3 linked regions of the Struthio camelus genome follow. The protein of the gene in region 3 interacts with the protein of the main gene of each other region in a biochemical or structural test. Links are inferred from orthologs where the notes say so. Each region holds a gene or a part of one and is shown on either strand. Other genes may lie near its edges.

What was found.
Region 1: of the proteins of CLSPN (region 3) and USP20, one has a biochemical effect on the other in vitro, tested with the Homo sapiens proteins (2 studies listed by BioGRID, with this or other methods). The link is inferred for Struthio camelus from reciprocal best matches to the Homo sapiens genes CLSPN and USP20.
Region 2: of the proteins of CLSPN (region 3) and CSNK1G1, one has a biochemical effect on the other in vitro, tested with the Homo sapiens proteins (2 studies listed by BioGRID). The link is inferred for Struthio camelus from reciprocal best matches to the Homo sapiens genes CLSPN and CSNK1G1.

What each region holds. Positions count from the first base shown.
Region 1 is NC_090961.1:6,705,424-6,712,975, reverse strand, and holds the start of USP20 (ubiquitin carboxyl-terminal hydrolase 20), read left to right. Parts: upstream 1-4,524; 5' UTR 4,525-4,647; intron 4,648-4,929; coding exon of another isoform or gene 4,930-5,033; exon of another isoform or gene 5,034-5,621; intron 5,622-5,723; exon of another isoform or gene 5,724-5,835; intron 5,836-6,722; 5' UTR 6,723-6,764; intron 6,765-7,251; exon of another isoform or gene 7,252-7,348; intron 7,349-7,552. Other genes in the region: C20H9orf78 (splicing factor C9orf78 homolog), read right to left, coding at 148-345, 837-914, 1,195-1,265, 1,481-1,532, 2,262-2,321, 4,321-4,524, 4,930-5,033.
Region 2 is NC_090953.1:25,509,390-25,516,461, reverse strand, and holds the start of CSNK1G1 (casein kinase I), read left to right. Parts: upstream 1-4,039; 5' UTR 4,040-4,158; intron 4,159-7,072.
Region 3 is NC_090964.1:10,022,956-10,030,671, reverse strand, and holds the start of CLSPN (claspin), read left to right. Parts: upstream 1-4,709; 5' UTR 4,710-4,831; coding exon 4,832-4,852; exon of another isoform or gene 4,853-5,090; intron 5,091-5,767; coding exon 5,768-5,897; intron 5,898-6,461; coding exon 6,462-6,916; intron 6,917-7,716. Other genes in the region: AGO4 (protein argonaute-4), read right to left, coding at 879-975.

The sequences.
Region 1 (7,552 bases), on a different chromosome or scaffold from region 3:
CTAATCAAGAACAAGGCTCAGTCCCATCACTGGGCCAAGCTGAGGATGTATAATCCAGATATGCCACTGCCTTGCCAATCAACAGTTTCTAGTCACAGGACTCTCTGGCAATTCAGGCCATAACTAACGGATCCGTGAACTACATACTCAATTCCCAGGTCCACTTCAGGAATGCCACTCAGCATCTGGTTGGACAGCATCTCTTCAGTCTTCTTGGCAGAGGAGACACGGATGTTCTCTGGCAGCTCGTACAGAGAGTCCTCGGCATTCTTAAGCTTCACCTTCTGTTCCTCATTCTCCACAATCCCCTTCCTCTTCTTCAGCTCAGTCTCAATGTACTTCATCCTGAACACCAGCACACAAGGGACACGTGGTATTTAGTTATGTTTTCTGTACTCTGTTCCAGCACTGCTGAGCACAGCTGCATCACTATCACAGCAGCTAGGGGAGAGGAATGAATAATCACTCCAAAACCACTCAGCTAATATAAACTGCAACAAGTAAAACATTTGCTACTCTGTCCAAGAAAAGATCAGATCCTCCAAGGTCTGCCACAACCAGCAGAGAAGGCCACCACTGGTATATAATGCCATGATGCCACCATGCTAGCTGGCTGGTCAGCACCTCCCAGCTTTGTTCAAGAAACAGCCTTCTCCAGTCTGGCAGCCAGAAGGTGCAACAGTAAATGAAAGTTTCAGGAAGGAGGAGGAAGATGTTTTGGGAACTCTTACTGTCCAAGACAGAAGGGGGGAAAAAAAACAACAACAACAAAAAAAACCTGTGAGAGGATCACAGGTCCAGATTCAGCACCACAGACACAACGCAGAACAACTTACATGTCAGCGTCTTCATCTCGCCTGTTGGTTTCAGCTGAGAAGGAAGTTCCCAAGTTCAGATCTTCCTCTTCATTAATCCTAAATGGAAATCACAATGTAACAGTTGTTTTATAAACTAATTTGACATATTACGATAAGGGTAACTAGCCAAGCTGCGTTATATTGATATTATAATAATATAATTAATGACAATATATAGTGAACATAACTGCATAATATAATACATAATATATTGTTATAATAATATAATTGATACAGTTATATTATTCTTCAAAACAATGCATCATTTGGTTAATTCACTAGTAGCTGTGATTAGAGACCAGTCCAAAAAAGGTTTTCGGAGCTCATATACACCCACTTGTCCTTGCCCCGTTCTTTCAGCTTCTTCATGTCCACCATCCCACCAGATTTTATCTTAAATGGGTCATCCTGTAAAACATGAAATGAGAAATCCTGAAGCGTTCCTCTAGTTTTAGGCTAGTCTTCAAAATCTGGATAAAAACACAGAAAACTTACAGGTTTTAAGATGTGACCATCAGTCCTATCCCCGACTGGACTCACAGTGTGGTCCTGTCCACTGGACCACACTGATGTTTTCACATCACTATGTGAAACTGAGGTGATGAAAAGAATCTAGCACTTACCACAAGCGTTGCTTCTTCTTGCAGCTTCTCCCCAACAAGCAGAGCTGCAGCACTAGTCAACCAGATACAGAAGGTAAATAAAATTCAGTAGAAGGAAAATATTACCAACACTACTGTGTTTTTTTACTTTTCTCTAAATCTATCAGACAGCCTCAAACGCTTTAGTAATACAAAACTGTCAGGCTTCCTAATCCCGCTCTATGGATAGAGGAACTATGACTGTCTCTGAGAGGTAAGAAGTTAAGGCAGACAGATTTAAGTGACTTACAGTGAGTCACCAGAATAAGGAACAGAGCTCATTGCTGGTGCACATTTCAACTCACCAGTCAGTGGCACTAGATGAGAAAGGGGAGAGGGAATTTAGGACAGAAGAGATGTGAGACAGTCCAGTGTAAACCCTGTATCACTCTGTAATATGTACAGTACAGATGAAGTGGCCAATACAGCAAATCTCTGATGACATGATTCAACGTAGAGGGCAAAAGCAAGGCAATGTGGTAATTTGATAAGAAGACAATTCATGTTAAATCCCAATCTTAATCTTTTTCTTCATGGCTGGGATATAGACCAGATTTGCACGCTGTGTCACTATACCTAATATACCCTCTTTTCCATCTTCAGGCTTTAATATAAGAAGTCCTCTGCCTAAAACACACTTTTGGTGCTGTTGGCCAGGTAGCTATTTCTACTGAAAGAAGGCAAATAACAGCAGAGAAGTTTACTGTTACGTTACGCCATCAGACAAAACACAAGTTCACCTCCTTCGTACTATATCCCTTACCTCACCCCATTGGGTCGTTTTCTGAGGCTCTGAACTTCTTTGGCTTCCTCAAGTTTTAACCTGGAGAAAAAAACATTCAGCTTAGGACTTTATGCTTTGGGTTTAATTAAGAATCAACATTTTCTGCACTTAACACAGGAACTTCCAGACAGACTTTGCCCTAAACCTCTGCATATGAGTGTCCACTTTTCTGGTTACAGATTAGAATGACGTATATTTTCCATTTCATTTTATTTAAGCAATTCCATTTATTTAAGCAATCAGAAGAACCACGTGGCACCTACCGGGATATGTCCCTTCAACATATCTTCCCTCAGCTGAGGAAAGAAGCATCCAAACACTGAAAGACTTTAATTTGAGGCCAATATGGGAAGAAAGAGCCAAGCATTATTGTTCCTGTACTTAGTCTGTTAAGATCCCCAGCCAGTATTTTCCTCAGAGTAAAACAAAGAGGGTCACCAAATCAGAATTTCATTAAATAAGCGTGGGACCCTTTCAATCCTCCAACATTTCACATTAGCTAATAAAATAACACAGTCATTTCTCAGAGGAAGGGGCAACTAATGAAGCAGCTGATTAGAGCGAAACTAGCAGCAGCTTCAAGTGAATGTAGAAAAACTGAGTGGTCATCAAAACACACCGCTACGGGAATGGCTCAGAAAAAAGTTGCATTGTTAAGTATCAATATATGGATGTCTATATATGGACTTACATGCATTCTTAATTTCTTCAGATATTTCAATCTCCCTTAATCATACATACTTTCAATATCTACCATGAAATATGCATCATAAAATATTTTTCAGAGATAAAATAACAAGAAAAATCTTGCGTGGAATGCAAAGATCTGAAAATAAAACGGACTATCAGTGAGCGCCCATTTCCAAATGGTAGAAGTGGAAGAGAAGTAACGCGTAAAAATGGCGCACAAAGACAGCAAGAGGGCTGGTGCCAAGGGAGAGGCCTCAGGAGAGTCTGTGTTAGTCAACAGTGACTGGATACTGTTCTAGCTGGCTCCCATTCCCTTAAAGTACGGCCTCTCCGGTTGTCTTGACTAATTGGGTTGACAAACTACAAATGCAACCGTTTTCTTGTCTGGAACGTCTCAAAGGAAGGGAGAAGCCAGACGGGAACAGCTGGCAGCAAAGCAAAGGTTGGACAACAAATATTAAAGCTGTAACACACCCACCAGAGCGGGCCTAACGCTTCTCAGCGCGGCCGGAGCCCCTGCCAAGTACAGACCCCCCCTGCACTGCAGGGCGAAGGGAGCGTCGCCAGCACCACCGGGATGTCCCTGCATCGCGGCCCTGCCAGCGCCCGGCCGGGGGGCTCAGCTCCGGCAGCGACGCAAAGGACGGTGGCGCCGCAGGCCTGCGCGCCGGTCCATCGCGCTGTGAGGCGACGCCGCGACGGGCACGAGGCGACGCCGCGCCGCGACGGCACGAGGTGGCAGTGTAGCGCGATGATGTGATATGACAGTGTGACACGGCAGCGCGACGCCATGATGTGATGCGACAGTGTATGGCGATGATGTGACACGATGGCTTGACGCGACAATGCGGCAGGACGACGCGACACGACAACACGACACGATGAGGCGACGTGATAACGTGACGTGACAGCGTACGGCGATGATGCGACGCGATGGCGTGACATGACGACGCGACAGGACAACGTGACAGGACGGCGCGACACGACACGACAGCGCGACACGACACGACGGCGCGACGTGATGATGTGACGCGACAGTACACGGCAATGATGCGTCGCGATGGCGTGACACGATGATGCAATAGGACAACGCGATAGGATGATGCGATGCGACACGACGGCGCGACACGACGGCGCGACACGACGCAAGCCCCTTCCACGCAGCTGCGCTGGTCTGCGTCCCTCCCACCCCGCCCACGGGGACACTCGGCCTGTCCTGCGTGGCCGGGGGAGCCCCGCCGGTGGCAGCGCCCGGGCGCGGGGCTCCTCTCCTGTCAGCGACGCCCCGGCCGCCATGTTACAAGCCGCCGGCGCGTCCCCCCGCGGCCGCAACGGGCTCCCGACCCACCTGACCTCCTCGGCCACCTGCTCGTCCTCCTCCTCCTCCTCGGAGCCCGCCCGGCGGCGGCGGAAGGACTTCTTGGCCGGCATGGCGCCGCGCTGCCCCCGTCCGCTGCCCGGCGCAGGGCGCGCGGCGACGGCGTCACAGGGCGGCGCCGAAGCCGGCGGTCGCCGCCTGCCCTGAGGCGCTGAGGGCAGGGGCGCCCTCCCCCTGTGCCGGTATAGAGAGAGAGAGAGGGACATAGATACACACACGCAGACACATATATATTCTGATATCCGTCTTCAGCGGCGCCCCCCCCCCTCTGGCCACCGCTGAGAGGCTTTCGGAGAGGTGAGTTACAGCAGGAGCTGCGAGGCGTCGCTGCTCCCCCCCCCCAGGCCGGCTGTGACCGGCGCGGCGCCGCCTGGCCGCCTCCCCCCCCCCAGCTATTCACCTCACGGCGTTTTCCACTCTGGGGGCTCCGTGGGGTTTGGCGGAGAGGCCGCCTCAACCCCCTTCCAGGTTTTGGCCACGTTTTGTCTCACTTCGCCGCTCACCCCCCCCCCCAGACTTGTCCCCGCTTCGAGTGGAGGTAGCGGACCCCGAGTCCGCCCCGTGTGGCGGCGTCCGTACCGCGCCGTGCGGCCGTTGGCAACGCTGGAGCGGGCGGCGGGCGAGTTTGGCTTCTCGTCGGGCTTCGCCGCCTGGGGGGGGGGGGGGGGGGAAGGGAAACTCATGACAAGCAGGGTCTCGCTGTTAAAGGTGATTTTAAGTCCCAAGGGCGGCTTGGTTCGTGGCAGCGCCCTGCTGGCGTTGGCTTTCGCAGGCTGAGGCGCGGCTCGGCGCTCTGCAGGACGGGGCCGGCTCCGTGCTAGGCGCAGTGTAGTAACTGTTATCTTTGCGGCGTGCCGAAGGCTCGGATAAAAGGTGTTTTTACAAGTACGTGTTGTCACATAGCCTCTGTTTTGTAAACCTCCCCGCTGGTTGGAACAGTACGTTTCTTCTCCCCCCCCCCCCCCCCTTAGCCGGGGTCAAACCCTGGCTGCGCTGAAGCGCGGGGGCAACTTCGCCTCTGCTGCCAAACTGAGATTTTATTTTTTATGTCGTATTTTTTGGCCGCCGAACCGTGGCGGTGGAGGTGCGGCGGTGCCGCACATCAGCTGAAGGCAGGCAAGAAGCCCGCGCCCGGGGGCGGCGGTGGTAGAACAGCTGCGACGAGAAATCGGGGCGTAGTTATTTGGGGGAGAGGGGGAAACGGCTTAAAATGATGCCCGCGTGCCCTGCCGAGCGGGGGCTCCTCCGGCGGCGCCGCCGCCGCCCGTTACGCGCTGCCACCGCCCGTGAGGGGCACGGAAATGCCTCCGCCGGGGCCGCCTCCGCCGCGGCCCGGCCCCCGGCCCCTCCCCCGGGCTGGCGCCGCCGCCGCCGCCGCCTCGCCGCGCTGCTCGGGGCGCCGCCGCCGGACCGGGCCGGGCTGGGCCGGGCCGGAGGGCGCGGCCTAGCGCCGTCGCCGAGCCCGAGGCGCGGCGCATCGCGCAGGTGAGTGGGGGCCGCGGCGGGGCAGCGCGGCCCGGCCCGGGCCGATGATGCAGCATCGCCGGGGGAAGGGGAAGGGCCGGGGCCGGGCGCTGCCCGCCGCGACACGGCTGCCGGGGGCGGCGGCGCGGCGTTGCCGTGCGGGAACGGGCCCTGCGGCCGCGGAGCTCGCCCCGGCCAGCGCCGTCCTGGGCTTAACTTCGCTCACGTTTAAAAAACGTGGCTATTGTTAAAAGAGGAGTTTCACGCGTGTTTTGGGGCGGGGGGGCTGTTGTGCTTGAGGAGCTGTGTACCCGTGAGGAAACGTTCCCAGAGCTGTCATTTCTTAAAAGCTGCATTCCACAGAGGTGGTGTCTTTTTTTTTTTTTTCTGGTGACCTCCAGAAATAAAATGCAGTTTCCTTTGTCTGTTCTAAGTAAAACATCTGGGTTTCCAAACATGATGCGGTGCAAACCTCGAACAAATTGGAAATGCCTGTTTTCCGATTTCTTTGTTGTCACTAGGCCAGTTCAGTAAACATTTCCTACCTCAGGGTCTCAGATACAAGACACTGCTAGTAACAGCTGCAGATAGCTATTTATCTTGGTAGTTATGCAATATGAGCGAGCAGATACATTAAGTGTTTTGTGGCTGAGCGGTACAAAGATTTCCTTTTACTCATACAAAAATCTAGTCCATGGACTGTACCTTTTTAAATCTGCATGTATCAGAAATTCTTAAAAGCGGACTGCAAACTAAAAACAAAAGTGTGCAGCTTTGAGCAGAAAAATTAGAAATATGTTATTGCATAGGGCAGAGACACTGGTTTTTGGCAGCAATTTCAGAAACTGAAAGTAGGTTGCAGCTACTGTGGGACTGTTCTGACATGTTCCTGTACTGTTCTTCCACAGAGCTTCTTGAGAAAGGCTGGCTGAAGGAGTACCTGTGTTGAGGTAACTGCTTTTCCCATCGCACGCAATACGTTCTGACAAAGTGAAGCTTCCTGTCAGTGCTTTTATTATTAAACTCCTGGTTTCTTGAGGAACAATGAAGAGCTGTATGTTCCAGCTAAAGCTCTCAGGGCAGAGTCTTGGGGAGGTAGAGATTTGATAATTGTTTCCCAACAGTTACAGCTTGAACCTTCTCTGATTCATTCAGGCAGGGCTGAGAGGTGAACATGACCTTTTTCCTGTTTTATTCAAAAAGAGAAGCTCGAAATGAGAAGATCAGCATCCAGTGGTGGAAAATTTTAAGGCATATTTTCAATTTTAAATAGGTGACTGGTCCCATAGAATTCAGTAAAACCATCCACATCCACAAGACTGTACTGAGCACAGTGTGCTCCAAAAACAGTTCCCGTTTAGCTTAAGCTGGTAAAGATTAAGGGGCCTAGAGTTAATTTTAAAAATATCCTGTTCATTAGGCTTTCTGTGTCCCCAGGGTACGGATAAAGAATCAAGGAAGGCAAAATAGCAAAGATGGCACTACTATTTTTTTTTTTTTTAAGTTGGACCAGCTGATGCATTTGGAAAAAGAGGTCAGTTTTGATGAAGGGACTCGGAGCCTGAAAGTGTCCTATTTCTATGTGTTAGTCAAAGATACTATGGCTTTGTCACTTGTCTTAAATCAAGATGTTACGCGACATTATTTGGCTTCTCTGTGAAGCTGCATGAAATTGTTCAGTAGTCTGTTAAGCATCTCTTCACAGATTAGAGTTCCTCGTTACAACCACAGCAGCCTT
Region 2 (7,072 bases), on a different chromosome or scaffold from region 3:
TCACAGTGAAGAAGTTTTTCCTCGTGTTCAGGTGGAACTTCCTGTGGTTCAGTTTGTGCCCGTTGCCTCTTGTCCTGTCGCTGGGTGCCATGGAGAAGAGGCTGGCCCCATCCTCTTGACACCCTCCCTTCAGATACTTGCACACATTGATCAGATCCTCTCTCAGTCTTCTCTTCTCCAGGCTGAACAGGCCCAGCTCTCGCAGCCTTTCTTCAGAGGAGAGATGCTCCAGTCCCCTCATCATCTGTGTAGCCCTCCGCTGGACTCTCTCCAGTAGGGCCATGTCATAACAATGCTCTTTTGTTTAAATCCATGTGAATCCTGCAACTCACTGATTTTTGATGGGGGGGAAGGAAGAGAGAAATACAAAAAGAGCTAAAATCCAGTGCTCATGAGTGCACTCTGTAAGTAGGATTTTTAAGTTATTATATTTTATATAAAATATATAACAGAAGAGGAGCAAGCTGACAGCTGCTACCAAAGGTAAGACCACTCGCTGTAACCCAGCATTGACCAATGTGTTAACCTCAACTTTTTAAACTTAACACCCTTTTTACAAACATCCACTAAAAGAAAAAAAATACCTAGTGCTGACAATAGATGTCAGCAGCATCTCCAGCTAACAAACACTTGATTGTGCCAGTGACCTGGGCAACGTGCATTTAGCCTTGTTTCCAGTAAAAGGTCACAGATTGCATGTGTCTCTGCAGAGTAAGCGATACGTTGCTTTTTTAGCAACAAGGACCTGCGGTAACGTAGCCTGCCCAACCTAAAATTTTCCTCACAAGTGAATTCTAGTTGCTTCTTCCAACTGCAAGATATTTCTGCCTTTTACATTCTGGTTGGAGCTAACTGCATCCACTAGCTAATATGATTCGACAGATGCTGTTGTGCCTCTCTCTGAGCTCAGGTCCGGTTGGTTACCAGCACTATCTGGTGGGGTTCAGTAGAAGATCCCAGAATTCTTCCCTGCTCCTGAGAAATGCAAAAAAAGGTTTCTTCCCTTTTCACAACTCTCAGACCTCCAACATGTAGGATATTCTGTGTACAGTCCAAATTATTTTTATGACCCTTGAAGGTGAGAATGTCACAGCCCTGAGGGCCCCACCCACACCCCCATGTGTAGAAGGTGCAGGAGCTCCTTTTTAGCTCAGCTTGGGGCAACTTAGACCTTTCCAGGGCAATGCTTCTCCAGTCCTGTCTTCTGGATAGATATACACTGTAAGCAGCCAATTGCTTGTCCTGGCTCCTGGATGAATTTTGGACCATAAAGCCGATGTGCACACTGCCAGCTGTTTGGGGAAGGCAGGCAAAGAAGAAAAACGGGGAAGAGTAGGACATGGAGATGGGTAGAAAGTCGCAGGAAGTTCATTGCTGGAATGATTGGTTAGTGGATTCTCTTGAATGCTCCAAAACCAGCTGTAAAAATAACAAAAATACTGTGCTTAGAAAGGGTAAATACTAGTGCTTGGAAATTAGAAGCTAAGAAATCCTATCTGTTCCTCTCTGCTTTCTGACCCCATTGGATTTACGCCACTTAGATTCCGCCTGCAAAACATCTCCTGAAGTATCTCAGTGTTGAAATTAGACCCTAAGAGGCTAGATTTCTGAAGGTCCCAATATTTTGGGAGACTCAGGTGACAAAAACACCTTTGGCTAGGCAATGCAGCTGGAGTGAGTAACAGGACACGACCCCATCCTTTAGGGTCGTAATGCGAGATGATTGCAAAATTAATTACAAAATTAATGTGAGATGATTACAAAATGCTGCAGCTTCATAGCATTTCACAAGCTTTTCCTGGTAGATTTGTCTTGCCACTGCATCAGAAAAAAAGATTTTTTTTTCCCCCTGTGTGTAGGATGAGCTTTCTGCTCCCAACGGGACAGATCTGACCGGAAAGAGATTGGTCCTCCTGTTATTCCAGACAAGGCCATGCAGGGGAGGCAGCTGTTCGGCGAGGCGAGCAGATGTCTGTGCCATAAGGAGTGGACGGAGGGGAGGTATTTATGCATTGAGGAGAGCGGGCCATCAGCTGTCGAGTTGCCACGGTCCCACCGTGCCATGGGAAATCCAACTGCCCCGGCACTTCTGCCGAAACCGCTGAGCTCACAGCATCCCCTGGGTGAAGATTTTCTCCGCCAAGCGTGCTGACGGTTCTGTCTCCAGATTCCACTTTATTGGGAAAAGTCTCAGAAGTCAGAAAATTGCCTGAAAGCTATTGTCAGACTACGTTGGACTATAGCATGTATAACATGCTGGTTCTTACTCCTCTAAATAAAGCCTCCCTGCTGCAGACGCTGCCGTTTTGAGTTTTTTTGGCATAAGGAGGCAGTATCTGAAACACAAGATGCCCTCTTCTCTTTTATTAATTTCTGTAAATGTGAAGCTTACAGTGGCCTTTTGTGTATGGAACTACATATCCTCCCCCTCCCGCTTTGGAACGAAAGATCATCGGGGTTTATTTCCATCGGGGAAAAACGAATGAGACCTTGGTGCAATCCTATTGCTCTGTGTGCATGAAGGGCAGAAGGCTGCTGCTCTGCTTTCAGACCCCCTGCTTCTTTCAGGCAGGACCCAGAAAATATTCTTTCTTACGCTTTTCTCAGGAGACTCAGTCTCTGGCTGTTCCTCTTTGCACACAAGTGTCCAGCGTTCCTCAAAACGATGCAAGGTAATTTTGCGTTTGCTTTTGGCCTGCAGGGCAACCCTGCTGCCCACATTGCTCAGACTCTAACTCTGCTTGTGTTTGGCTAGTGCCTCCCGTCGACAGAATAACTAAACAGGCGCTTCATTGTCTTTTCTCTCTCCCCTGAACAAAGGGTTATTGTTATGCCCACCAGCTTCAACCGATCACCCCACAGCAATAAAACGGTCCGTCTCAACTGGAGATGTTTCCTTTACTGTATTCAGCAATTTCAAAAAAAAAAGAAGCAAGGAGTTTCCTTTCTGTAGTAATAATGTGCCCAGGAATCGGTGCTAACGTTTACCTGCCTCAATTGGAGAGGGTAACCCTAGTGTCTGCCGCTATTCCAGTCGGATGGTCCTAACCAGCCTGACACGCTCCTACGTCAGCTGCACGCTGCAAATACACAACAAAAGAGAAGGAGCAAACAAAAAGGTGAAACACAAGTTTTTAACCAAACTCTGCTGTATTGCTACTTAACTACACCACTCCAGGAGAATTTACAAGCCCAGCGCTGGGAATATGAGACGGTAAGGAAGAGATATCCCTTCAACTCTTCAGTTCTTGATCTAAACAAAAATTCCCAGGCCATTTTAAAAATTAATCCGCAGCTAACTCCTAGCAGATGCTACGTGCCGATGACTTGTTACGTCCTGGTCTAGAGCTCAGCTGCTGCGGTCAGCTAACGAGAGTGCTTCATCAGCTCAAGGACTAGCGAGCTGCCCGGCAGGAACGAAGGTTTTCCGCACCAGACCCGCGGAAAGGCTGCTATGCAAATACCACACGCAGTTTTTAAAACGCTTTCAAAGAATGCTGGAATTGTGAAGAAACCTGGAAAACCCGGCTGGTGCGGAAACGTAGAGTTCCGGCTCCAAAAAAAAAGGGGGGGGGCAGGAAAGCATATAAACATTGAGCTGACGGCCCCCAGCACCCTTCTGCTTCTGGAGCGTAGCGTTTCCTCAGCGGCGGCCCTTCTGCAGGGCGCAACGATTCCCGAGGCTGCTTTCCGCCTGCCGCCGCCGCGCTACGGACTCCGTGCGGCGGCGCCGCGGCCCCGGGAGGCGCCGGGCCACGAACCTCCCGCTGCCGAGCGCCCGCAACGGCCGTTTTATCCGGCTGCGGTTCCCCAGCCGCGCAGCGGCGCCGGGGCCGGGGCGGCGGACAGGGAGGCCCGGGCGGCGCCGCTTCCGCGTAGCAACGGAACGCGGTTGCTAGGGCGAGCCCGGCGCGGCGGCGCCCCGGAAGCGGTTGCGGGCGGCGCGGCGGCTTCGGCCGGGTGCTGCCATAGGGCGGCGCGCGCGGCGGGGGCGGGGCGGCGGGCGAGCGCTTCCGGGTCGGCGGCCTCCCCGCGGAGCGGCGGAGGAGGGCGGAGCCGCCGGCGGGGCGCGGAGAGCAGCGGCGGGGCCCGGCCCGGCCCGGCCCAGCCCAGCCGAGCCGCCGGCCGCGGAGCCCAGCCGAGCGCCGCCGGAGCCAGGTACGGCCGCCTTGCCGGCGAGCTACGGTGCGGGGCCGCCGCGCCGGGGCGGTGCCGAGCCGAGCGCCCCCGCTTCGGCCCGGGGCGGTGCGAGCGGGGCCGGCGGCGGCGGCGGGTGTCACGGCGGGACGCGGCCCCCCCCCCCCCGCCTCGAAGCGGCGCCCTGCGGAGCCGGGCTGCGGGGCGCGGCGGCCGCCGAGCGCGGGGCGGGCTGGGCTCGCCTCGCCTCGCCGCCAGGCCGAGCTGCGGCGGCGCCGGCGCCCCCCGCGCTGCAGCCGCCCCCGGGGGCGCGGGGGGGCGGCCTGGGCCTGCCCGGCGCCCCGGCGGCCTTCCCGGTGCCCCCGCGGAGGCGGCCGGCCCCGCGGCGGTTGTGGATTGTTTTTTTTTGGGGGGGGGGCGCTTATCTGTTATTAGCTGGTTTCTCAGAAACGCAGATGCCGTGATGTGGTTAGAAGGGGTGGAAACCTGTGTAAGCGGCATGGGCTTAAAAACGTTGCTCTTAGCTACGGGCACAGCCAAAGTCCCTGGGCACGTAGCACGTCGTCTGCCAAAAAACGAGTTTTAGCGCTGGTATTTGAGCAGGAACTTTTTAAAATCCTAATCCTAGTCCCTCCTCTAAGGGAAAAAAAGGCTGTAGGTGACAGTAAGCACTTTTATAACTTCTTTATGTGTGTGAAACGTATCCCCCCTTATCCATCTGCAAGATGTGGCGTTTGTCACGGTATCGCACTTTATGCGCCAGGGATAGTTTGACTCTTGTCTTGTCCAGGGTACTCGCAGGATTTTTGTCTTCTGCTCAGGATCTGTTTCACTGAGAGGAATAAAAGCAGACAGCTGTTCTCTTCAGCCTTTCTCAACGGTGGCTTGATTTTTCAATTTACATGAACTGATCTATATGGATTTCAAGCTCATTGTTAATGTTTGCTGCCTCCTGTGCCCTAACTTTATATGATCTTTTGCACCTTCCCCGTTTCTCATATCAGTTTCAGATTTTCAGATTGGCCTAGTTGAAGTCACACTGTCATGGGTGTGATCTCAGACTTGTGTGTGTGTGTGGTTTTTTTTTTTTTTTTTAATCAGTGACCTAATGCATATGTGTAACCGGCTTATGCTGCCACTCCCCGAGCTCCTTGGTACTTGCCTTTTTCCTTTCTTAGTTCCCCAGCTCCTGGCTTTTATTTACATACAAAATAAACCACCTTTTCTACATCTCTGTTTTGGAGTGTTAGGTTTTTTCTTTAACACTGTGTTTGTAAATTGGTCTCTGTCAGCCTGCTGGGAAGAGGATGATGGGTGGACTGAAAAGAGTAAGCTTTGTTCCCGTTTTGAAGCTTTTATCAAATATCGGCGGTGCTTTCCCACAGATGCGTTCCAACGTACAGAGAGTGTCTTTAAGCTGCAAGTTTAGAGAGACTGCTTTCTTAAGGCTGTAAAAGCTGTGTCCGTCAGTTGCTGAAGTTTTGGAAGTGTCGCCTATGCAGTCAAATATTAATGCTGGAATTTAGTTTTATTACTGGAATTTAGTTTCATTACGTGAGCTGTCGCTATTGTAAAGAGAGATAAAGAACGTTCTTCATCTGAAGCCCTGCTGATATTAGAGCTCTTTCGGCCAGGAATGAACTGGAGATACTGCCGCTGACAAATACGAGTTAGAGTGCTTGTATGGGGAAGGTCACCACTGGCAAGATGCAACTAGGTGAGAAAGGATCTTGATTTTAAATGTCATGGTATTTGGAAACGGGCAATTCTGTCTTAATAATTAAAAAAATGTCTACTTAGAAAGCTCGGGAGGTAGTGGTGGGGCTGTGCTAAACCATAACTGAAATTTCTAAGGAGCCGGAAGGTATGTTTCCATTGCAGGTTTACAGTATGTCTTGTACTGGGGTCCGGCTCTGTATCCTTGTTCCAGGAATTTATATATATGAAGAGAAGCTAGACCTGATGCTATCAAGAAATATAGGTCAGAGCTTATGTGCAATGTCTAGCTCTAAAGTACAGTTAGACTCTTAACAGCATTCTCGCAAGTAAGACCTGGAAATTCTCTGTTCTGGCTGTAGAAGTTTCTGCTCCTAGTGTAGTGGTACCCGGTGCAGGTGGCATTGAAACCCTTTGGCAGAAATACTGCTATCTGTTGAAATAATAGACTGCCAGCTTGATGAAGTCAGTGCTTTACACTTAAGTTTGGCATAAATATCTAAACTTTGCAACTATGCAACTCTTTCTCCAGACACTGCCTGCCTTGACATTCCTTTTTCTGAACTCAGCGAAGAGTCCAGCTGGAGACTTGTTCTGAAGAGCAGTTGGGTCGCAAAGACGAGGCACAGCTTTTTACACTGGAAGGCTGTAGTGGCATATTTTCAATGGCTTGTCCATGCTGCTTTAGGACAGTCTGGATTTCTTGCTAGGTTGATCTGTTATCCTCCAGCTGTAGTGATTGGAACTTGCTTCAAATTCTGCTGACTGTGGCCAGTACATACCTATTTGTTCTTGTGCCAGTGTTGTCCTTCATAAAAATAGCTTTTCTCTCCTTCAGTGCTTTCAGCAAGCCCTCCGTTTCCCCCCTTGGCTCCTTATTTTCAAACTATGCAGGTTAACCTTGTCGTTTCTCTTTTCCTGATCATCTCTCGTGCTGCTCTGTGCCTGTGTTTGCATAAACTAATCCCTGAACATAACTGACCAGGCAGGACCCAGACTGCTGAAGGAGCTCTCGCTAGGATGTTTCTGAAGTCTGTGTCCTTGTCTTGTTTTGCTCCATCCATATTTTTCTTCTTTGGAAGTTTTTATGCTGTTCTGGTCCTCTGTATTGACAAGACTTCAACTTCTTTTGCCAAAGTAACTGCTGGAAAATATTCTGGCAAGAGTGATCCAGCAGACAGGTTCACACAACTCCATCACAAGAGGAATTATTAGCTGG
Region 3 (7,716 bases):
AAGCATGAATCATCAAGGGCAATCAAAGTTTGCTGTGCTTATTTGGATACTAGAGAGATGATCCATTAATCCCGTGCTAATTAGTCTGAAGTAGTGCAGGCACTGACCTCCTGCAAGAGATTAAATGACAACTATATTTACCCATTTTCCTTCTTCAGTATTGACAAGTTTTGTAAACAGCCGTGGCAACACTGACCTAGGCCAGTTTTGACAAAAGGAGATCAAAGTTACATCATCTTCCCTGAAATCTTTTAAGAAGTAACTTTAAACAGAATAAGCTAAAAGCTGCTTTCTCATTTGAAGCCAGGCTTCCCTGCAAGTCACACCGATTTTATCATGATTCTGGCCTAATCAGCCCAGGCAGGGTTAAATAAGCTGTTACTCTTGATTTCTTCTACCATGTGTTGATCATGTACAGCTTACCCTCAACCAAGTTGCTTCAGACAGGAAGTAGTTTTACAAAACTAAAAGAGGATCTACTCCTACTTTAGAAGTCAGAGAGTACCTACCACACCATACATCAGTATGCTAGACGCTGAAAGCAATCCCCCCACTAACTACCTTAAAATCTTCTTCTGACGTTTGTCTGGAATTGCATCTTCATGTCAGTAAACTTTCCTATTGCACCGAAATTAACACTACTTCGATTACACCAAGGGTTTGATCACAGATATGGTAGATAACATACACTGGACCGCTTTGGTCAAGAAATACATCTCGCAGACATTTTATGGAAGAAGAGCCACAGAATAAGATAGAATTAGGAAAACGCCACATGCGTAATAAGGCCAATATTGAACGGCAGACTGTTTGAAAAATCAGCGCTCACCCTTCCAGAAAGTATCAACCGTAAGCCCTTAAAAACAAAACAGACTCACGCCAAACACTACAACTCGTCACTAGGAAAAGACCTGCCGCAAGCGCGCTGGCGGGCAGGGTCGGAAGCCCACGCGTGCTGTCACACCTCCGTGCCATCGCGATTCCAAGTCACTTCCACGCCTAGAGCCCCGCAGCTGCGCTTACGGCAATGCCCTATCTGCCCTGGCGAGGGGAAGGCGCCCGGCAGCCCCAACACCAAACTTCTGCTGTTTGCGACCCGCCCGCCAAGTTTCGCGGCCAAGTTCCTCTCCGGCGGGGGGAGCCGGGCCGGGCCGGGCCGAGCGGCGGGTCAGAGCCGGCCTGCAGCGCGGCCCCGCTCCGCGCCCAGGCCGCGCCGGCTGCGGCAGCTCCCGCCGGGCCGCGGCCTCCTCCGCGCTGCGCCCGGCCCGGCCCCGCCGCCCTTCGCGCCTGACAGGGCCGGCGGCGCCCGCGCCCCGCCAGGCCGCGCCCGCCCTCGGCCCGGCCCGGCCCGGCCCGCCCGCGGCTCTCACCGGGTCCCAGCGCTTCCATGGCGGCGGCGGCCTCGCTGCGGTCCCCGCCGGCCCCGACGACCGCCCCGGGCCCCGCCGCCGGCCCCGCCGCCGCCGCGTAACGCTTGATCTCGGGAATATTGGCTGCGGGGTGAGGGGGGGGGGTGGCGGAACGGGACGCGGCGGCGGCGGGGAGCGGTCTACCGCGCTGCGCTCGGCCGAGCGGCGGCGCAAACAATCCCCCCGCTGCGCTGCGCTGCCGCCGAGCCCGCGCGCGCCGCCGCCGCCGCCGCGCGCCACCCCCCCCTTCCCCGCGCGCGCGCGCGCGCACGCGAGCGAGCAGGAGCCGCCGGAGGAGAAGGAGGACGAAGAGGCGCCTCCACGCTGGCCGGCGCCGCGGGCACGCGCGCGCACGCGCTCCGCCCCCTGGCGCCGGGGGCGCGCACGCCCGCACCCCTTCGACGCCGGCGCGGCAACAGGTGAGGGGCGGCGCCGGCGGCCGCTTCCCGCGCGCGGGGGGGGCGGCGCCCTCGCAGCGCCGCCCTGACGGGGCCGCCCCCGCCATGACAGCGCCGCCCTGACGGGGCCGCCCCCGCCATGACAGCAGCGCCGCCCCCGGCCCCCACCCCGTGTATTTGGGGGCATTTTGTCAGAAATCAGCAGGTTTTCCCCCGCACTCTGCCCTCGGAGGTGGAACTCAGCCCCCCCCTCCCCTTTTTGGCATCTCTGCGCAGTAAAGCTCCTTTACTGACTGCACGGGTGTATTTACTCAGGTCCTTTTATTAGAGAACTTCCTTTTTTCCCTCTCTCTCTCCTCTCCTTCCAGAATTTCACAGGTTGAAGAATTAGCCCTCCGACCACCCGAAGCTTGGAAATAGTGACACTGCGTCTCTCAAACTCTGCGTTTATCTTCCATTGCAAAATACAGCGCCTAAACCCCACAGCCCGCGGTAACGACTTCCTCCGCTCTTCCCGTCCCCCACCCCCGAAACGGGGAACTCGCCTAACTTAATTACACCCGGTATAACTTCCTACACCAGCGAAACAGCAGTAATTCTGGTTAAAATACCTGAAAAAAATAACGTGTAAAAGTCACCGTGAACGGCTGCAAATTTTAATGCCCTTCAGGGCTGTAAGCAGGGCCAACACTTCCACTAACAAATTTTGTGGGCGAAAAATGTGTAGTAAGTGCGATAGGCTTGTTTGCCAGGGCTAATGATCGGTGTCTACCCAGCAGCTAACAGCTGACGCAGAGATCAATAATAACCATGGGATGTCACTCAGGCACCTTCTGAAAAAGTACTGTGGTAGGGAATTAGCTGGTTTGGTTATTAAGCCAGCTAGTTTGGTTATTAAACTCTTGGTGCACCTTTCAGGACTCACACCGTACACCCATTTTTGGGCTTGTTTTGGTCAACCTCTCTTCCCCCTTCCATCAGGGAAGATCCCACGGGCTGGTTTCAACCAGCACTGGCAACGGGGTGGGCTCACAGACAATAACTTTGGTAGGCTTTATTTTATTATTAGTTTTAATTAACAGCCAGGGAGAGGCCCTTAAAGTAGAGCCCTTGCTGCAGAAGCAACCGCTAGACCCTCTGTCTTGCATAGCCGCAGGAGGGATCTCATAAGGCTGAGGATACGCCTTGGGAGAGAAAGGGGCTGACGGACGCTGGATTTCAGATGTTTAGGTCGCGGAGGACACAGCGTGCAGGAACCTAAAATCAAGGGTCCTGCCAGCGCTCTGCTTGCTGAGATGCTCCTAGACATGCAGTGCAACCCAGTAGTTTTGATTTTGTTACCTGCAGTTTAACACAGTTTGTCTCTGCTTTTTCAGCCCAGGGGTTACTGATGCTTTGCCTTTTAAGAAGCTTTGCTATTTTAGTGAACGGCTTCCTTGCACATCCCACTTTTCTCTTGCTACCATTGAGTTCTGTTAAGTCAACAATTCTCAGCTGACTCACAAGTAGGTCAGAAGTCAAAACATTCTGTAAATAATAAATGCTGTGTCCATTTTATTTGCTTTTTTTTAAACCTGCAACATTTATTTTTTCAAGACCTTCTCTACAAGTAGAAGCATCAAAAACCTTTTAAAAGAAAATCAAATCTGCAGGTCTCATAACTGCCTGACACTAGCTGAATATTTGAGGGAAACACCAGCGTTACAAGACTTGTAAAAAAAAAAAAAACCCATGCTGGCCAGCAACATTTCTATGCTATTATTCAGCATACATATGTGTGCATAGTGCTATTTAAACAGTACTTAAAAAACAAATACACAATCTCTGCCTCATGGAATCTGCAGTACAAAGGCTTGGTCCTGTAAGATGCTGAATATGACAAAAGAAGCCTGTATTTAACGCATGAAAAGCTTAAAAAAAAAAAGCAGAAAAGCAATTAACCTGATAAATAAGTATAAGTTGCGGCATCCTGACAGCCAAAGTGGTCAGGACCTTATTTCTGAAAGTTCTCCCACCCTTATGCTGAAAACATCTACATTCATTTTATTTCCTTTCTCTTTTACATCTTTTACATCTACTTTTACATCTACTTAGGCAGGTTACCTGAGAGACGGTATCTTAACCATATTCATTAATGATGTTTTTGCAGTGCCAGCAGCTGCCTCTCCCGTTACTAAATACCGCCACAGAAACCAGCATTGCGTTGTGACGCCTGCAGTAAGCCTCAGGGGCGTTTGCTTTTCTCACTTCTCCATTCTAGGATGTGTGGGCTAGATGGGAACTATCATAGCAGATTAGCCCATCTGTTCAGCATCCCCCGCAGCACTGCGATGGATAACAACTACTTCAGAGTATATACTTTTTTCCCCCTTCCCCTCCCGGGTTTGCCTTCATGGGCGGACAGCAGGTTCCTGTTTGCACTTCGCGGGATGCTCCGGCGCTCCGGTGCGAGCGCTTATCCGTACTCACCCGCCCGGCAGCGGGAAGGCCGGTACACCCCCACTCCTAACCGCCGCCGGACGCGCGGGGGCAGGCCCACGCCGACGCGGCTCTGCCCCCGCAGCGGGCTCGCCACGCCACCCCCGCGGCCCGGCAAGGCCCTCTCGCTCCGGGCCCACGGCCCGGCCCGCCGCCACCGTCAGGGCACCTCGCACCGCCACGGCGGCCAGAGCGGCTGGCAGCGCACCCCTCCAACCACCCCGCGGCCAACGAGTCACTCCAAGGTTCTGACAGCAGGGGGAGGGGGCTGCCCAATGGCGGGCTTATAGGGCGTGCAAAGCCTTGAAGGGAGAGCCACGATTGGGCGAGGCGAGGGGAGGCGGGACTTCGCGGGAAATCGTCCAATAAAGCTCGCAGGGGGCGGGGCTGTCAGGGCAGCTCTAAGTGCCGATTGGTTGGCCCCAGAGGCGGGGCGGGCCTTGGGCAGCGCGCGAAGACTCGAAGCGGTTTCCTACCCGGCTGGGCGGCCGGAGGGTTTGTGTGGCGCCGGGCCGCGGGTGCCGGGGTGGGCGCTCGGGCTGAGCTATGGCGGCGGCTCCTGGTGAGGTGAGTTCCGCTGCTCTGTGCGGCCGGCCAGCGGCGGCCCGCTGCCTTCCCGTGGGCTTGGTGCTCCTCTGGTCGCGGCGGGGAGGCCGGCGGGGACGGGCAGCGAGTGAGGCGGCAGTGTCCTCTCGATTACCGGAGCGCGCCGGCGGCTTCGCGCCTTCGCCGGACTCGCCTCCCCCGTACCTCGGACGGACTACGCTTCCCAGCGTGCCCTGCGGAGGCTCATTCCACTTAGCGCGGGCGGTGCATGCTGGGAAGTTGGTTGCCCTGTCGGGGGGCGGGTGCGGTGCATGCTGGGAAGGCTGGTGCCCGTTCCGGGCGCGGTGCGTGCTGGGAGAGGCGCTGCGGCCTAGGCGGCACCGCCGTCACCGGGGGCGGCCGGTGAGGGCCGGCCCCGGCGGCTGCGGGCCCCGGGCGGCCGGGGCCGGCACGGAGCGGGGCCGGCCCTGAGCGAAGCGTCGCGGGGCCCGCGTGTGCGGGGCCAGCACCCTTCTCCCTCCGGCCTGCGTCGCCGTGCGCGGCCCCCGCGCCTCGTCTCAGGGCTGCTTTCTAGAGAGCACCCACAAGCGTCTGGTCCCTCCCCCTGCACTGTGTAAAATGCCGCTTTCGGAGATGAAATTTCAAAGTTTCTCATCAATTACTTCATTCTAGTAATTTTGAGTAATGTCAGTAGAGATCTTCCAGTATGTTCTTTTTTTTCCTTGTGCAAGCTCACATTAAACATATTTAAAAGCCAATAAAGGTTGATGTTGCATAATTCCCCTCCGTGTAAAGGTGAATTAATTCTTAATAATATGTGTGCATATATTCCTATGTAAAGAGTTAGCCAAGGTCTTGGACTAAGTTAAACTGCATGAGTCATTACTACATAAACAACACTTACCATATTAAGGATGATTTTACTTTGCTTTGTAGTTTCACTTAGAAGATTTGAAATCAGACTTGCAGAAAACCACTGATAGTGATTCTGACAGTGGACAGGGCAGCTGTGAAACAGGCTCTCCAGGTCACCTCAACAAGGAGAGAGCATCTCTTGATGACAGAGGTCTGTAATATTTCTGTAAATCGTGCCTGGAGGTGATTGTCTTCAATAGTGAAAGTTGAGACTACATGATCTTTGACCTTCTGAAAGTTGCGTGTTTTTGTTGCACCTGTATGAATCCAAACTGCCCTTTTGGCCGCTAAGAATGCGGGCAGACAGATATCTGAAAACATCAGAAAACCAGTTCTTGAGGTTCAAAAAGATAAATGGGATGTGAATATCTTAATTGCTTATTTTCTTTCTTTTTTTGATTTGCTTAATCTACCAAGGGCAACATGATATGCACTTATTTAGTTACTGTATTTTTATTTTTATTTTAGGGGCTGTTACTAATTATTTGTGAATGGTCTTTAGCTTTTTTAAGTCTAAAAACCTATAGCATCAGTTTGGGTCAATTATGTATTGCATGATAGGAAACAAGTGGATTTTGAATTCAAGTTATTTTGCTATAATTGTTGAAATCTGTGAAATTTAGTAGGCTTATATGTAGGCTGTATTTAAGTGATTGCTTATTAATGGAGTTCACCTCTCTATAACATGCATCCCTTTTTTAATATATTTTGTCAGATTCAGAGGAAGAGATTTTTCTAAGTAAAAAAACAAAAAGCAAAAGGTTGCTTCGGGATAGTGAAAGTGAACATGAAGAAGATAGTGGCTCTTCTAAAAAGAATGATACTCTGGGTGGAGTCATGGAAAATGGAGAGGAAAAGGAGAACATTACTGCCCAGAAGAACAAAAAATCTCATCGAGTTCGCCAAGGTCTGCTGGATAGTGAGGACAGTGACACTGGTGACCGATTGCAAGTTGAAAACTTTGAAACGAGCAAAAAGTCGGACTTTCCTGAGAATGAGTTGGGAGAGGAGAGACCCCTAAAATCTGGGAAAAAATACAGAAAACATAAACATGATTTTGAAGAAGAGACAGCCAAAAAATCTATAGGAAAACCAAGGAGAAAAAAGGAGAAAGAAAGAAGGACTGAATCCATTAAGCAACTGAAAAAAGAAAAGAAACCTAGAGCAGAGGTATATATTTTTGGCAGAAAATCCCAAATGGTTTCCCAACTAAGTTAAATTCTATTTCTGCGCTTGCTTACTGTGTTTCAATGTTTCAGCATCACTTGTGTCCACATTACTACAGCAGGCATTGTGTCCACAGAGGTCTATAGTTCTGCTATATAGAGATAGCAGTTTTATTTACAGAGAAAGTACAAATCCTAGCACTCAATGATTTAACATCAGTGCATGTGAAGTCAGGCAGGGATGATGATAATGGGTGTCCTCTTGAGAAAGAAGGGGTTGAGGAGAGGAGTGTTGATAGGAGTCTATTTTAGTTTGGTAATTCTGTAATCTTGAAAGTGATGTGTTATGCTTCAGATTTTTCCCTTATCCTGCTTGTCAGCAATAGTTAGATGACATCAAGATTTCTCTTTACCTCCTTGCAATTATAAGGCTGTAACATCACAAGATGGAAGCAGATCATGCTGACTAATGGCATCAGTTCAAATTGAGTGGCAGTAGAAACACTGGGAAAAAAAAAATATTTTTGGGGATAATAATGATAAACATTTTTTTGGGATAATAATGATGTTCATTGTTGCTATTTATAAAATATTTGAAGTATTAATTTATTCTGTCTAAGTGGTCTTGCTCTTTAGTAGCTCTTCAAAGTCCCTATATGTTATAGTTGTAGGAAACGTTGTTCTGTAAATTAGTTTATCAACTTCGCAGTGCTATAAAGTGAATGTGACCAGCTCACAGGACACAAAGATGTTACAGTACCGGTGACATAAACCTTTTTTAACTTCTTATCATCAAGACCTTTT